Pelodiscus sinensis: one gene and its partner. The protein of the gene in region 2 binds, or shares a complex with, the protein of the main gene of each other region. Links are inferred from orthologs where the notes say so. Each region holds a gene or a part of one and is shown on either strand. Other genes may lie near its edges.

Region 1 (7,979 bases), on a different chromosome or scaffold from region 2:
CTCACGCCACCCAAACCCAATGTGAACTCAGCCAGCTCAGCCCATCTAGTTACTCCCTCCCGACCCTAGAGAGGAGACTTACCCAGATAATCATCCATAAGGGAACCGATTGCAAACTGCAAACCAAACACAGAGATTAGTGTTGAAACAGAGACGGTGAGTTGCCTCTACCTGAGCAGGGCTGCTCATCCCCAGTATTTTAGCACCCCCTGCTGGAAGAGGCTGGGAATGAATGACCTAGCCCTCTTGCTCTGCTCCCTCTTCCTTGCTGGGAGAGGCTAGGGCTGGATTAGCCATGAGTTCCTGCCCCCAGTTCCATGCTGAGAGCTGTGGATCTACACGCGTGCATGCACCATATTTGAAAGAGGCACCAAAGACTCACAATGTCATTCTTATCCACTCTGGTCCCCACGATTTTCAGCCGGATCTCATCATCCTGCTGGATCACGATGTCCTAGAGACATGCAGCACTAGAGTGAGACCCATTTACAAACTTCCTCCTTTTCTCAGGCAGAGGCCAAAAAGGCTAAACACAGAGTTGCACATAACTCCAGCAAATAAAGCGTGTCTGATATGGAGGAAGTAAAATTCTCCCCACCACCCATGAGCCTGTTCCAGCATCTCCCTTGTCCCCAGCTGAGTCTCTCTCCCTCTCCACGCACCCCCATTACACCACAAGCTCCCCTCAAAACACCATCTACCCAGGACTCACCTCATCCACTGTCTTGTAGCAGGGAGGGTTGGAGTTTGGGTCAAATTCCATCTCGGAGGGAATGGACTGAGAAGAGAACAAGAGTCAGTGAAAAAGGAGCTCTCCATATATCACCCTACCTGCTCCCAAAGCTGCCTCTCCCCAGCACTGTGCTTACGTGTCGAGATATGAAACAGGACATGGGCCCAATTTCGGTGAAGAGTCCAACCTATAGGAAGCAGAAGCAGTGATTCCATTAGCATATACAGGCAGTCCCTGGGTTACGTACAAGATAGGAACTATAGGTTTGTTCTTAAGTTGAATTTGTATGCAAGTCGGAACTGGCTCCAGATTCAGCCGCTGCTGCTGAAACTGACCAGGGGCTGACTACAGGAAGCTGGAGGCAGAATTGCTCTGCCCCCAGCTTCCTGGAATCAGCCACTGATCAGTTTCAACAGCAGCTGAATCTTGAGCCTGGGACAGAACAGCTGGGCTGCCAGGTAGGTCCCTGCAGGACCAACCCGGCAGCACCCCAGCTGCTCTACCCCAGGGTCCACAACAAAAGCCTGGTCTGCTGGGGGGGAGGGGGCACTAGCTGCGCCCTCTCTCCCCCCCAGCAGACCAGGGACATGGGGAGCAAAGCCGCAGCGGTGGCGGGGTCCCGTGCCTCTGAGGCTTTGCTCTGGCAAAGCCTCAGAGGCGCGGGACCCCACCGCCACTGCGGCTTTGCTCCCGGTGTCCCTGGTCTGCTGGAGACGGTCCCCAGCAGACCAGGGGCACCCGGAGCAGCTTTTCTCACCCCGGAGGTCGAGGTGGCAGGACCGCTGCGCTCTGGCCGGTCCCGCTGCCTGCGAGCTCCGGGGCGAGAAAGCCCCATTCGTAAGTGCGGATCTGACATAAGTCGGATCCGCGTAACTCAGGGACTGCCTGTACACATGGAGGTTATCCTGTTCCCTCATCAATAGCTACACCCTCTCCAGCCCCAAGACAGCCACTGCTCACACCCTGGGACTCAGATACTAGTCAGACAGAACAGCCTTCGCACATTCCTCCCAGAGCTGCTTTGGGGTTCCTACATCCTTGGTACAAGGACACCGCATAGTCCCAAGCTAGGGATCCACCCACAGGTTTAGCTACATGAATCACCCTTTCCTTCACCGGCCTTGAAGAGAACAGGATTGTTTGCATTGACACAACCATTGTAGCTCAGCGTTATGACAATGGCTATAATCTGATCTCATGCTTCAGAGCTTCAGCAGAAATCAGGAAGGAATAGTTTCCTCCAAATGCACAATCTGTGTTAGGCTGGGTTCCCCACTGCACTTTCCTCTGAAACAGCAGAGACTGGCCACTGCTGGAAATGGAACACTGGGCATAGTGGGCCAGGACTCTGAGATGGTCCAGAGAACCCTCTTCCTAAATGCCTGGCTTGGGCACCATGCTCAAATTGCCAGACGAGTCAGGAAGGAATTTTCCCCTCCAACTCAGACTGACATGGACCTTTGGAGCATCTTGCTTTCCCTTACAGACCTGCGCATGTAAATCACTTGCTCAAATCATCTGGGCATATCTTGCCAAGTCAATTCCCTGCCACTCTGGGTCCTCGGAGGGGCACTGGTAACTGTTTGGTCTCTCCTGTTCTCTGCCCGGGGCTCTCAACTTTTGAGTTACCACAGGACTCAAGTAATTGGATTCAATGCAGGGGTGTCTGGGTGACTTCTCTGGCCTGTGTTATACAGGAGGGCAGAGGAGATGATATAATGGTCCTCTCATTATATACTCCACAAATTCATACAAATGCACCCCACCCCTGCAGCAATGGCTTACCTTGTTGACCTGTGTCACCACAGCATCCACCACCTCTCCCTTGAAGGGCCGGAAGACAATGGCCTTGTACTTGACAGGGTAGAGCACGAAGCCACGACCCGGCTGGATGACACCTGCCCCAATGTTGTCTATGGTAGTGACTGCAATGACAAAGCCATATCTGGGGGAGAGTGGGAACCAGCTCTGTTAGAGAATTCACAGGCAGAGAACAGGACAAAGAATGAGCTGCAATAGAGGGGACTTCCCCCATTCACCACCAGGGGCTAGGTTCTTCCGGTCCCTCCAAAACAGCAACCCTATCCCCTTCCTTCCATGAATCTGCACCTGTCCTGGATCTCCAACCCACCACCCCACTGCTTCCCAAACCCTCCAAATACATTCCCATCTCCCCCAGCCTTGTTACCTCCATCTCAACCCCGCACAGACCTGTCCCTCCAGACTCTCCTGCCCCTACTCACTTGCCAGTGCAGGTCCCCTCCACCTCTGTGAACAGCTTCTGCTTGACAGTGTTAAGAAGATTGGGCCCAAAGTAGCGTGGATGCAGCAGGATCTCATGCTCCAGGGAGATCTATGAAAAAGGGGAAAAAGGAGAGACCTGTCACTAAGAGGGGAAAGGAGGCAATCCTCAGCCAACCCCTCCCTCCCTTCCTTCCCCACCTCATGGCAGTAAATGATGGGGCAGAACCTCAGTGCCCCTGGGGCAGAGGGAACAGTGGCAGCTGACATCCCTCAATTTGGGGGAAGGTTCCCCCTGGAGCACAGGGAATGGTGCATGCTGGGGCCCTGGAGAGAATCCCCGTGGGGGCAGAGCCAGTAATGCATTCTGGGACTGCAAAGGGGGACAGGAAGGAGGAGGCAGCTGATGCACTTGGGGGTGGGTTGTTTGGAGGGGGGAGTCGAGGAGCAACTGATTCTGGGGTGAAAGGGCTACAAGCACAGCTGAGCCTCAGGGGAAGGATTGCCCAGGCTCTGGCGGGGGGGGGGGGCAGCTGGCCCCCAGAAGGGGGAGAAGATTGCCCAGACCCCTGTCATGGGGAGAGGCTGGCCGCCGGGGGAGTGGGGGAGAAAGGCTGTCCAGGCACTGGCGGGGCATGGCTGGGGCCTGGTGGGGGGGCAGCTACTCCCCAATAGATCTCCTGGGCGGAGACCGTCACTCACGTGGTAAAACATCTTCCAAGAGGCCGGGACCGGAAGCAACCCGCAGTTATCCCCACCCACCCAGGCTCCTTCCTCACTGGCCTGCGACACACAGGTGTACTGAGCATGCGCACCCGAACTGAGCATGCTCAGTAACAGCTGCTGTTGCTGCGGCCCTCACAGGGATTCAGACTCTGCTTCCTGTCGGAATGTGCAGCTTCGCGTGTACTGAGCATGCTCAGTTAGCTCCGCTGGCGCCACTGCCCTTCTCCCTGCCCTCACTTTATGCGTTCTGCCGGCTGCTTTTGGCAGGGAGTTACAAAGGGGGCAAATTGCCGCGCGGGGATGGGCAGGGTCTGAGCAGGGTACAGAAATACATTGACCAGGGTGAGGCAGAAGAGTGGCTGGAGGGGAAAAAGGAAGGGGCGTAGGAACAGGGGTTTAGCTTAGGGAACAGATACTGCCAGTCCCGGAGGGGCGGGGGGGGAAAGGGGATTAATACTTATCCGGGTGGGATGAGCCACATACTCAGTGTGCAAAGACAGGGATGGGAGTATAGAAATGGGGGGTTATTTTCCCTTTCAGGATACTATGTACCTGTGCTGGAGAACAAGGCAGATTCCTCGCTGTGTTCTGAAAGTTACAACTGTCCTAATTCATTGGCTCTCACTGGTAGACCTTCAAAGCGACTCTCTAACTACACTGCTGCATGTTCAGGAGTCTGGATGCTGTAAAATATCAGACATGCAGAGTCTGAGGGAGTGTGTAACACATTTTGAGTATTTAAATGTCTCTTATCAATGTATAGGACTATGTAGCACTTTAAAGACTAACAAGATGGTTTATTAGATGAAGTGGGTCTGGCCCACGAAAGCTCATCATCTAATAAGCCATCTTGTTAGTCTTTAAAGTGCTACATAGTCCTGTATTTTGTTTCAGCTACACCAGACTAACACGGCTACATTTCTATCTCTTATCAATGTATACGTCAACATGAAGTCTCATTACAGTTCATAAATTTGTGTCTTATTTGCTGCTGCAAGTGTTTGAATTGCGCTCCCGTCCTTGCAACCCATTTGTTCCTTTGCAAATGTTATTTCCTTTACTCTGAACACTTCATCATTTACCTATACTATCATTGTGCAATGCATGTCAAAAACCCTGTTTGTTTTTATTTTAATAGCTAATGCTGAAAACTTTGAAGTAAATAGTAGTTACTGGTTTTAGCAATTTTATCTGTGTTTCTATTATAAGGTGCCACAGGACTCCTCGTTGCTATTATAGCACTTGCTATATGTTTTGTACTTTGATTTGTAACTTAGAGGTTTTTATTAAACTTGTGCTATAAAAAGAAAAAAGTAGATTTCTGCTGGGTCTGTTACCTACCAGCTCTTTGTTCTTAGAGAATGAGGGCATAGTCTGTCTGACCCATTAAAGACCTTTTCCCCCGCTCCCACCCCCAGTCTCTGCTTGCACCAAAGCTGATCAAAAGACTTGGAAAATGCAATGAAAAGGCAAGAGAAGATAGATCTAAACCCCTCTGAAAGCTCCCCTAGACTCATGTGCATCACTTCCTTAATATATACAATGGAAACCAGAAAGTCCAAGGCAAGAACTGCATTGAACTCCGGGACCCAAAAAGAATAGAAGCATTGCCTGATGGACATTCCTGTTTCAATTGCTAATGAACTCATGCCTACATGCACCCAGATAAGTAATTGTCAGACCAATTATAGTAACAAGCATTTTATTGGTATCCAAAATATAGGTTGAACCTCCATCACCCTTGGACTGGTGGCTGTAAACAAACTATGGGACCATGGGCAACTGGCCACATCCACAAGTAGACATCTGGCAAATAAAATCATACTGGACCTGGATGTTGCTGGACCAGAGAGTGCCAGAGTAGAGAGGTTCAGTTTGTACTGAAGCTGCTTAATTGTATTATGATGTCCATCTAAGGCACAGAAAAACCTACAGCCTGCGTTAATTTAAAAAACAAAACAACAACAAAAAACAAATCTCTACCCAGGCTCAAGAAAGGGTTCTGATGCTTGGATCCAAATTCTGCATCAGTTCCATTTAAGCAGCATATTGATAGAGTTATCAACCCCCTCTTCCCAGAAGAGTAACCCTAATAAATGAGCATACCCAAATTAACAGGCAGAGCTGGTAACTTGTCATGTGACTAATTTCCTGTCTTGTTTTCAACAATTCATTTCGATTATTTTGCTAATCAAATAGTCAATTTGTATCGACTATTCAATTAGCCAAATAATCAAAATTTTACATCCCTAGAATCTATGCAGAAGAGTGAATGCTTGCTTTTGAAAACATCTTGGAACAAAAAGCAAATTGTTTTGGTTTATACACCAATTTATAATAATATAGCTTTTCAAATTACAAAAAGGCTACGTCTACACTGGCCCCTTCTTCGGAAGAGGCATGCTAATTTCTAACTTTGGAATAGGGAAATCCGCGGGGGATTTAAATATCCCCCGCGGGATTTAAATAAACATGTCCGCCGCTTTTTTTCCAGCTTGGGGAAAAGCCGGAAAAGAGCGTCCAGACTGGCGCGAGCCTCTGGAATAAAGCCCTTTTCCGGAGGATCTCTTATTCCTACTTCAGGTAACTTCAGGTAGGAATAAGAGATCCTCCGGAAAAGGGCTTTATTCCGGAGGCTCGCGCCAGTCTGGACGCTCTTTTCCGGCTTTTCCCCAAGCCGGAAAAAAAGCGGCGGACATGTTTATTTAAATCCCGCGGGGGATATTTAAATCCCCCGCGGATTTCCCTATTCCAAAGTTAGAAATTAGCATGCCTCTTCCGAAGAAGGGGCCAGTGTAGACGTAGCCAAAATGTGTGTATGTGTATTAAGTCAAGGCAAACCTCATCCCTTCAAATTTGCTACCTCTGGACCAGGGGATGTGAACAGCACCTCTGGACTGGTGACAGCTATGCTTGTTGCTTATTCCTCTGAATTTGCTGCCCCTGGATGAGAGGATGTGAAGTGGCAAATGATGCTGGCTAAGCAAATAGTGACATACTATTACCGCTACCAGAAGCAAAATTGGAGGGATGCTGTTCATGTTTCTACACCTGTCCTTCAGAGAAACTAACCTGTAGTTCTGTGCACACGCGTTCCTCAGTGCTCATTGTATAGCTGCACTGGCCAGAGGACTTCACGGGGCGCTCTGGCTCTGGCAGGTGAGAGAGGAGCACAAAAACAGTGAAGGGTGGGGCAAAGAGTGATTGACAGGAGGCGAGTTATACGAAATCCTGTTTTATTAGGTAGTCAGGTACAAAAATAAACTCTGGAAAGCAAGGAACACATGTGCCTGAGTCAGCAGCTCCCGCCCCAGCCTTGTGCAGCCTATTCCCCTGCCCCAATCTGGGAGGGGGCCCTGTAGTTCCTCCCCCAATTCCCTGTCAGAGATTCCCCCCTGTGAGTAGAAGACCTCAGTTCCTCCATCGTTTTCCAATTCACCATCAAAGGGGCCATGAGACCCCCTGTATCAAATCCCTGATCAACACTCCTGGGAGCCAAGCTCAAAGGGTGCTTACGCCAGTATGTCCCAGCTTTCCACTACCCTTCCCTCTGCCAGCACACCCCACTCTCTACCAAATCCCCAACCACCACTTCCCAGTACACAGAAGCACAGGGGTGGGGAAGATCCAGCCCATGGCTCCCTTGCTAGGATCCTAAGTACAGAACCACTCATGATGCTTTAAGCAGCTGGCTGTTCTCTGTTCTGGATGCTGAACAGGGATGGGGAAGCTTTGCGCTCTGCTCCTGCTCCCCTGCAAAACCTCTCAGTTCCCATTGGCTAGTTTCTGGCCAGCAGGATCTGAGAAATTTTGGGAGCAGTGGCAACATGTGAAGCCTTCCTCTTCCCCTCAGCACCAGAACAGAGCCACATGACGTAACCAGGGATTGCAGCAGACGGCAGTGAGGCTGCCTCAGTTTCTTGCAGGGCTGCTGACTAGGAGCCACCTAGGTAAGTGCCTCCCAGCCAGAGCCTGCCTCTGGCACCCCAGCCCCTCCCCCTGCACACAATCTGCCCCAGATCACCATCCAAACCCTCTGCACACCCTTTCCCCAGGTCACAGCTCCCTCCCAGACTCTGCATCCCCTCCCATACCCCTTCTCCAGGCCAGAATCCTCTTTTGCACCCATACCTGCTCCCAGATCCTGCACTGCAAGACCCTGCCCCAGGTCACAACCCTGTCTCTCACCCAACTCCCACATCCTCTCTTGCACCCCAGTCCCCTATTCCAAGCTCCCTTCTGCACCCAGTACCCCCTCCATAGAAGTGCGGCCCTTGAC
Region 2 (7,787 bases):
AAAAGTTTAACATAAACCTAGAGAGGAAAAAAAAATCAACGATTAAGAAAAATTACACGAATTTTTTATATTTTTAAATTTAAAGGTTTATTTTTTAAATAAACATTTACAATTACATTTGAAGATGACAATGTTAAGCAATAAACTTATTACAATCATTTAAATTAAATACAAAAATAATATTAACCAGCAAATTATTTAAAGAAAGTCTAACCACTGCAACAGTGAAAGTCACTGGTTAAGCAGCTGGAAGCAAAGTTTGCTGAACTGCTAAACCAGATTTTGACAGTAATAGTCTTTGATACAGGCGCAAAAAAAAAAATCTATCTTTATGTCAATTTATTCAACTAGTTCAGTTCAATTACTAGTCTATTCAATGTTAATAAATCAAATGGGAATTGAAGCTGAATAAAAGCTAGTTTTTATTTATAGACTGAAAAAGGAAAGCAAAGTGTGAGAGGATGGGATGTACTGGTTCTACAAGGACATGGTGACCAGAACTGATCACAAGTCAATGCATAAACTACAGACAACTTCCTTTAATATATTAGTTACTTTTAAATACAAAACATGTTGAGAAAATTTAATTTTTTATGAATTCAGCACTTCGGACAATTTAAAATGCTATTTCCACTTAATGCACTTTAATTTAAATGTGAATTTCCTTGCCAATAGAGCTTGGCACAAATAATAAAAAAATAATCATCTTGTAAAACAATAAATGTATCATTCATGATTTTCTAACAATCAAAATGTAAAAACTAAAAATGTGAACTAAATGTAAATCAAGCTATATAAGTGCTTAAATGTAAATAGCTACACCATATACCCCTAGTTAGCAATAAGCAGCACCACATCTAGTGTAAACGGAAAATCAACTTTTCTTTGGGAAAATAACTAAAAGTACAAATGGACAACGAAAACTGAATTACATCCAGGTTTCTGCTTGATTATTTAAATTGTTAGTAAGGTTGGAAAGGAAGCTCTTTGGGGGTACCGACTGTTTTTTCTTCTATTTGTACAGCATCTAGCACAATAGGCTTCTGCTCAATGATTAGGGCTGCTAAGCATTATGGGAATATGAATAAACAAACAGTAGAAAATATCTTACAACAAAGACAAGTATAGTTCATGTGCCACTGCCCCATTCTAGGACCTTTACAAAAGACAAAGGATATTTTACAACTATATTAGCAACTTGCTATCTATAAACTGCGGATGCATAGACTTTGGAGGGAGAGATGCACACCCACCTCCCTTCCTCTGCACACCTAGGTGTGTGCGTGACTGGATTGGAGGGTGGGGAGAGGAAGGTTCCCTGGCCTTCCTGAAATGTGTACAGCTTGAACCTATTCTAGTACTCTCTGGTCTGGTATGATTTTAGTTAGCTCGATGTCCACTCATCATGAGTGTGGCCATGTTTCCCATGGTCCCATACAACTGGAAAATGTTACTAGACGCCCAAGTCCCAGTCTAAATAACCAAGACCCCTATAGGACTCAAGATGTCAATGGTATGGAATAGCACCTCGTTACCTTATGCTATAGGTTACCAAGGATAGATAGGGGACTCCCTACACTCTGTGCTTCCCCCTTGCTAGTGCTCATGGATAATTACACAGGACACCATCAGTTTAATCACTTGTCTACTGTCACAACACTTGAGCAAGCCACCACTACAGGAAGAAGCCATGGACTTGGTGAGAGACTCGGATAGGAACATGATGATCGAATCAGATGTTGGAAGTAGAGGGTACGGAAGTGGTTTCCATTATATCTACACAGGACTTACAGTTAAAGTCAATGGTTCTCAGCACCCACATTATAAAAATTATTCTAGCTCCTCTGGTTTGAGTGACACTTGGCAATAAGTAGCAAACCCATGAGCCCTGCTGTTGTTTTCTATTAGAGCTGTCGAGACAGGACTACAGCATCCCTGGGGCCAGTTCTGCACAACAGCTTGACTCAATGTAACTAATTCTGACTGTGAGTGAGTGGCGAAAGGGGGATCCCCTTGGGCCCCTGCAACTCTTGGGGGAGGAGGGGAAGGAAGGGCTCTCCTTGGGCCCTGCAACCCTTGGGGGAGGAGGGGAAGGAAGGGCTCTCCTTGGGAATATGCAGCTGGGGGCAGCGGGGGTGGTGCAAGGAAGCTCTTGGCGGGCCTAGTCGCCTCTGTGCAAGAGGGGGAAAGGAGGGACCCCCTGTGGCCCCCGCAGCTGTGTAGGGGCAGGTGAGAAGGCAGGGACCCCCCTGCTGCTCGGTGGCAAGAGAGAGACTCTCCCGAGCCATGGAGTGCAGCGCTGGTGGGGGAGGGAACCCCCCAACCAATGCAATGGGGGGGTTAGAAAGCAGGACACCTGGCCCACGCAGCTCGAGGGGGGCAGACACGGGACCCCCCCCCCGGCTCACGCAGCTCGAGGGGGGCAGACACGGGACCCCCCCCCCGGCTCACGCAGCTCGAGGGGGGCAGACACGGGACCCCCCCCCGGCTCACGCAGCTCGAGGGGGGCAGACTCGGGACCCCCCCCGGCTCACGCAGCTCGAGGGGGGCAGACTCGGGACCCCCCCCGGCTCACACAGCTCGGGGGGGAGGGGCAGACACGGGACCCCCCCCGGCTCACGCAGCTCGTGGGGGAGGGGCAGACACGGGACCCCCCCCCCCCCGGCTCACGCAGCTCGTGGGGGAGGGGCAGACACGGGACCCCCCCCCGGCTCACGCAGCTCGTGGGGGAGGGGCAGACTCGGGACCCCCCCCCGGCTCACACAGCTCGGGGGGGAGGGGCAGACACGGGACCCCCCCCGGCTCACGCAGCTCGTGGGGGAGGGGCAGACACGGGACCCCCCCCCCCGGCTCACGCAGCTCGTGGGGGAGGGGCAGACACGGGACCCCCCCCCCCCCGGCTCACGCAGCTCGTGGGGGAGGGGCAGACACGGGACCCCCCCCCGGCTCACGCAGCTCGAGGGGGGCAGACTCGGGACCCCCCCCCGGCTCACGCAGCTCGGGGGGGGAGGGGCAGACACGGGACCCATCCGCCTACGCAGCTCGGGGTGGGAGGGGGGCGCCCTCGCGCTCCCAGGCTGCCCCGCTCCAACCGCCCCGCTCGCGCCCGAGAACTCACCGGCGCGCGAGGCCGCCCGACGCGGGAAGGCGGGCGGGGGGCACGGGGGAGCAGGAGGAGGGGGGGACGACGCTGGCTTCGGCGGCTGCTGCGCTCCTATTGGCCCAGCGGCCGGGTACAGCGTCAGCTCAGAACGCCATACGTGGGGCGCAGGGAGCCTGCGCGGTGCGCACTGGAACTGCGCAGGCGCCGTGAGAGCCGCTGCCCTCCCTCGGCCCGCACGTGGCTCGCGGCGCGTCAATTAACTGTAGCGAGCGGCAGAGCAGGGGCTGCAAGGGAGCCCCGTGTGGATTGTGCAAAGCCGGGCTGGGGGCGGAGGGGGGACTCGTACCAGCAGCACAGGAGCCGCAATGCCCTAAGCGTCTCCCCCAGGCCATGCAGCGCGGGAGGGAGCCAGCCTGTAACCCCCGGGAGGATTTAAAAGTCTCTTATCCATTTGTACCTGAAGTCTCATCATAGCTCCTAAATTTGTCTTAGCTGTTGCTGTGATGCCCTGAATTGCACGCCCCTCCTGGTGACCCATTGTAAGGGCAGCTTTGCTCGAGCCAAGCATTTGAGCTTTTATTTAAACCCCCAGACCAAAACAATCACAATAGAAGGTAAACTGAAAAAACAACCAATAGTCTGGTAGCACTTTGTAAACTTACAGAACATGTAGAAAGCGGCGAGGAGTCCTGAGGCACCTTATAGACTAACAGAAGTGTAGGAGCATAAGCTTTCGTGGGCAAAGACCCACTTCCTCAGATGCACGAAAGCTTATGCTCCAACACTTCAGTTAGTCTATAAGGTGCCACAGGACTCCTCTCCGCTTTTGCAGATTCAGACTAACACGGCTACCCCTCTGATACTTGAAAACATGTAGAAAGTATTTGTTTGGGGGGAGGAGGGGGAGAGAGAAGAGAAAGGGTATGGTCTGGATTTTTGTTTTGTTTTAAATGTTCCTATATAAGTACGAAACAAGCAGCCCATTGAAAGCACTAACAATATTTCCAATGATTTGAGGATAAGTAAAGGTAATCTTAATACGGGTTGAGTGGCTCTAGTCCAGCACCCTTAGGATCTGATAGAAGGTCAGTATTGTCTAGCAGCATGACCAACACTTCCAGGCTGTGTCTACACTGGGCCACTTATTCCAGAAAAGCAGCCGCTTTTCCAGAATAACTTGAAAGCTGTCTGCACTGGCCGTTTGCTTTTCCGGAAAAGCAATGACGATCTACTGTAAAATTGTCAGTGCTTTTCCGGAAAAACTATGCTGCTCCCATTCGGGCAAAAGTCCTTTTCTGGAAAAACTGTTCCAGAAAAGGGCCAGTGTAGACAGCACAGTAGTCTTTTCCGCAAAAAGCCTCGATTGCGAAAATGACGATCGGGGCTTTTTTCCGGAAAAGTGCGTCTACATTGGCCACGGACGCTTTTCCGGAAAAAGTGCTTTTCTGGAAAAGCATCCTGCCAATGTAGACGCACTTTTTCCGGTAATACTTATAACGGAAAACTGTTCCGTTTTAAGCATTTCTGGAAAAGGGTGCCAGTGTAGACGTAGCCCCACTGTTTATTGGGGTTTTAGAAGACATTTAGGGATAAATTAGAACTAAACAGCACAGAACACTGACAGCCAAGGCTGGTGACTGTAAACAAACTTTATGGGACAGTGGGAAACTTGGTTATGCCCATCCATATAACCCATCCATATAACAAAAATCAGGCCAGATTGTGGATGTTGTCAGACCAGACAGTGCCAGACTAGAGTGGGTCAACCCATATATTTTAGTTTTAAGAACAGATTAATCAATTCAGCTGAGCATCCAAAAGCAGCTGAACTGTACTGGTGAATCTGGCCACTAATAACAATTGATCGATTCATTCAAAAGTTCATGTTCCTATATTTTATAATTGTAACTATATGGAAAATTTGAAGAATCTATATTATATTCCATGATTAACATAATTTAAGTCACAGTGAAGACTGGTAAAATGTGGAATATTTTAATGCACAATTTTAACTCTAATTAGAAAATTTACTTGCACATTCTTAGAAAATTCACTAAAAACTCAGATATTAAGTGTAGTGAGTTTGGGGAGAATATGTTGTACTTTTTATGCATAACGAGAAGTTGCTTTAAATGCTAAGTGCAACTCAACCTGACTTATGGAATCACTCACTACTGGAGCCTCTATTACAAAAAGTCTTACCGGTAATACTTTAAGAAAATGGTCTACATTTACTCAGAACCAAAATACTAACTCCCTGTTTTTATTTAAACATCCTCTGGTAATGTGTGAAAGCTAAAGGCTGAAATATTGTGCTTATGCAGGGGAAGAAGAAAGTTCTTAATAGGTAGCAAGTTAAAACAAACATAAGGAAGTACTTCACAAAACACACAATCATCCTGTGGAACTCCTTGGCAGAGGATGTTGTGAAGTACAAGATCTGTAACAGGGTTCAAAAAAGAGCTAGATGAATTCATGGAAGATAGGTCCACCAATGGCTATTAGCCAAGATGGGTAGGAATGGTGTCTCTAGCCTCTGTTAGGAACTGAGACTGGGCAAACAGGCTACATCAACACGGCACACTTATTTTGGAATAAGCTATTTTGGAAGAAATACTCTGAAATAGCTTATTTCGAGATTGTGCATGTACACTACAGGGAAGCCTCAAAATTAGTCTCGGGCAGGCTCCCCTAATCTGGATGTACTACCTCAATGTAGAGCCCCAGGAAGCACTAGGGAGTAATTACTTTGAATGGGCCTGGGGGAGGAGCTATTTTGAAATAGCAGCAGTGGAGTGTTCACACTACTGCTATTCCAAAAAAAATTATTTCAAAAGAGGCATTACTCCTTGTGGAATGAGGTTTACAGAATCCAGAATAAGCCGCCCGTCATTTTGATATTGCAAAATAACAGAATTGTGTAGACGCTCGCAAAGTTATTTCGGAATAACGTCCATTATTCCGAAACAGCGTTGTTGTGTAGACGCATTCCTAGGATTGGATCAATTGATGATTAACTGTTCTTTTCATTCCCGTTAGGGCACCTGGCATTGGCCACTATCGGAAGATAGAATTCTGGGCTAGATGGACCTTTGTTCTGACCCAGCATGGCCATTCTTATGTTTAAGTGAACCTGACTATAAACAAAAATTGACCAATCTAAGTGAAGTGCAAAAAGTAAACAATACAAATACTGTAAAATCTTTTCAATATTTTAAAATTCCCTGTTTTAAGAAGCTAAAATGTTATTAATGTATGAAAGGAAGTTTTGTTTAAAAAGAAATCTGACTGTCCTTGCATTCAATAGGGGAAGATAAGATCTTGTACATCAAGTTTCAGTTTGGAGCAGTTGTATACAGCAGAGATCCAATCACCTGAGATAGCCCCATACAAAAAAAGTTTTGGCATAGCTAGTAGAGCATGGTTTCTAAAGAATCTTCACTCCCAAAATAACTTTTATTACACCGTGTAATACTTTTCCAAGATGATATTCCTTATCCATAATGCTGGGACCAGTATGGCATATTTTAAAACTGTTTTACTGATCTACAAAGAAAAGAGGTCAGATAGCATCACTGTTGTTCCTTCCTACAACAGTTTTCACCCTCTTTTATATGTCTATCACCAATTTGAGTTAGAAATACATTTAGTTTCCTTTAGAATTCCATTTATTGTCACATTGCTAAACTACAAACTTAAATACTTTTATTTAAAACAAAAGTAGGATACTGTAGTGAGGTTGCACTCTGATAAAACGTGATTATGTTTTTAAAAATATGCTGCTTACTATTTAATACTATAAAGTGAAATACACTCATTTCAGCTTTCCGAGCACTTCTTTTTCTGACTCTTTTTTCAGTGTCAGTCCTCATTCTCATGCCACTAAAATAAGTTTCTAAAAATAAAACGAATAAAAGGAAGTACTTCTTCACAGAACACTCAGTCAACCTGTGGAACTCCTTGGCAGAGGATGTTGTGAAAGCCAAGATCAATTATAATCAATCAATTACATTTGTTAAACAGAACTAACATGATACATACAATTGAAAAGCAAGTGACCTCATTACTATCTACTGTGTAAATCTACCTATTGTTAACCACAAACTTTGTATACTGTCTTTTTTTTCTTGTCACATTTTATTTAACCTCATTTTTTGAGGGTTACAGAATCTTTCGAAACGAGGCATTTCTGTCGAAAGATCCCTGTCTTAGCCACGTTTTTTTTTTTCAAAAAGTGGCTTCAAAAAAAAAAGTTGTGGCCGCCATTATGCAAATGAAGCACAGGAAATTCAAATTCCGGCTTCATTTACAATTTCAATATGTCTAATTTACATCCCTTTATCAAAAAAGGGATGTAGTTTAGACATACCCAAAGAGACCTTGGGGAGAGGCTCCCTCCCGAGGTCAGATACAGTCTGACCCCTGCACTGCACAGTCTAATATCAGCTCCTCTCCCTTGCCAGCACCATGAAACCCACCCTAGAGCCAGACCTGGACATGCACTTCCTGAGAGCTGCTCTGAACACGGTCCTGGACACAGAACAGGACACCTCCCAAGGCCAGGTAGAGCTGCCTCTTCTGATTCCCTTCTGCCAGGAGCAGCCTCAGCTCCCTGGTCCCTTGATTGGCTGTAGCTGCAGAGACGGTTGGGTGGCAGAGATGGAAGAAACAGCAGCAGGGTTGG

What was found. Proteins that work in one complex are often made in the same cells at the same time.
Region 1: GTF2E2 (region 2) and POLR2G share a complex: the UniProt entries of both Homo sapiens proteins name them as parts of the TBP-based Pol II pre-initiation complex. The link is inferred for Pelodiscus sinensis from reciprocal best matches to the Homo sapiens genes GTF2E2 and POLR2G.

What each region holds. Positions count from the first base shown.
Region 1 is NC_134721.1:36,810,171-36,818,149, reverse strand, and holds the start of POLR2G (DNA-directed RNA polymerase II subunit RPB7), read right to left. Parts: upstream 3,448-7,979; 5' UTR 3,245-3,447; coding exon 3,176-3,244; intron 3,087-3,175; coding exon 2,977-3,086; intron 2,679-2,976; coding exon 2,519-2,678; intron 921-2,518; coding exon 870-920; intron 779-869; coding exon 713-778; intron 455-712; coding exon 383-454; intron 117-382; coding exon 83-116; intron 1-82. UniProt on the Homo sapiens protein: Core component of RNA polymerase II (Pol II), a DNA-dependent RNA polymerase which synthesizes mRNA precursors and many functional non-coding RNAs using the four ribonucleoside triphosphates as substrates.
Region 2 is NC_134715.1:5,047,607-5,055,393, reverse strand, and holds the start of GTF2E2 (transcription initiation factor IIE subunit beta), read right to left. Parts: upstream 3,285-7,787; 5' UTR 3,119-3,284; intron 1-3,118. UniProt on the Homo sapiens protein: Recruits TFIIH to the initiation complex and stimulates the RNA polymerase II C-terminal domain kinase and DNA-dependent ATPase activities of TFIIH. Both TFIIH and TFIIE are required for promoter clearance by RNA polymerase.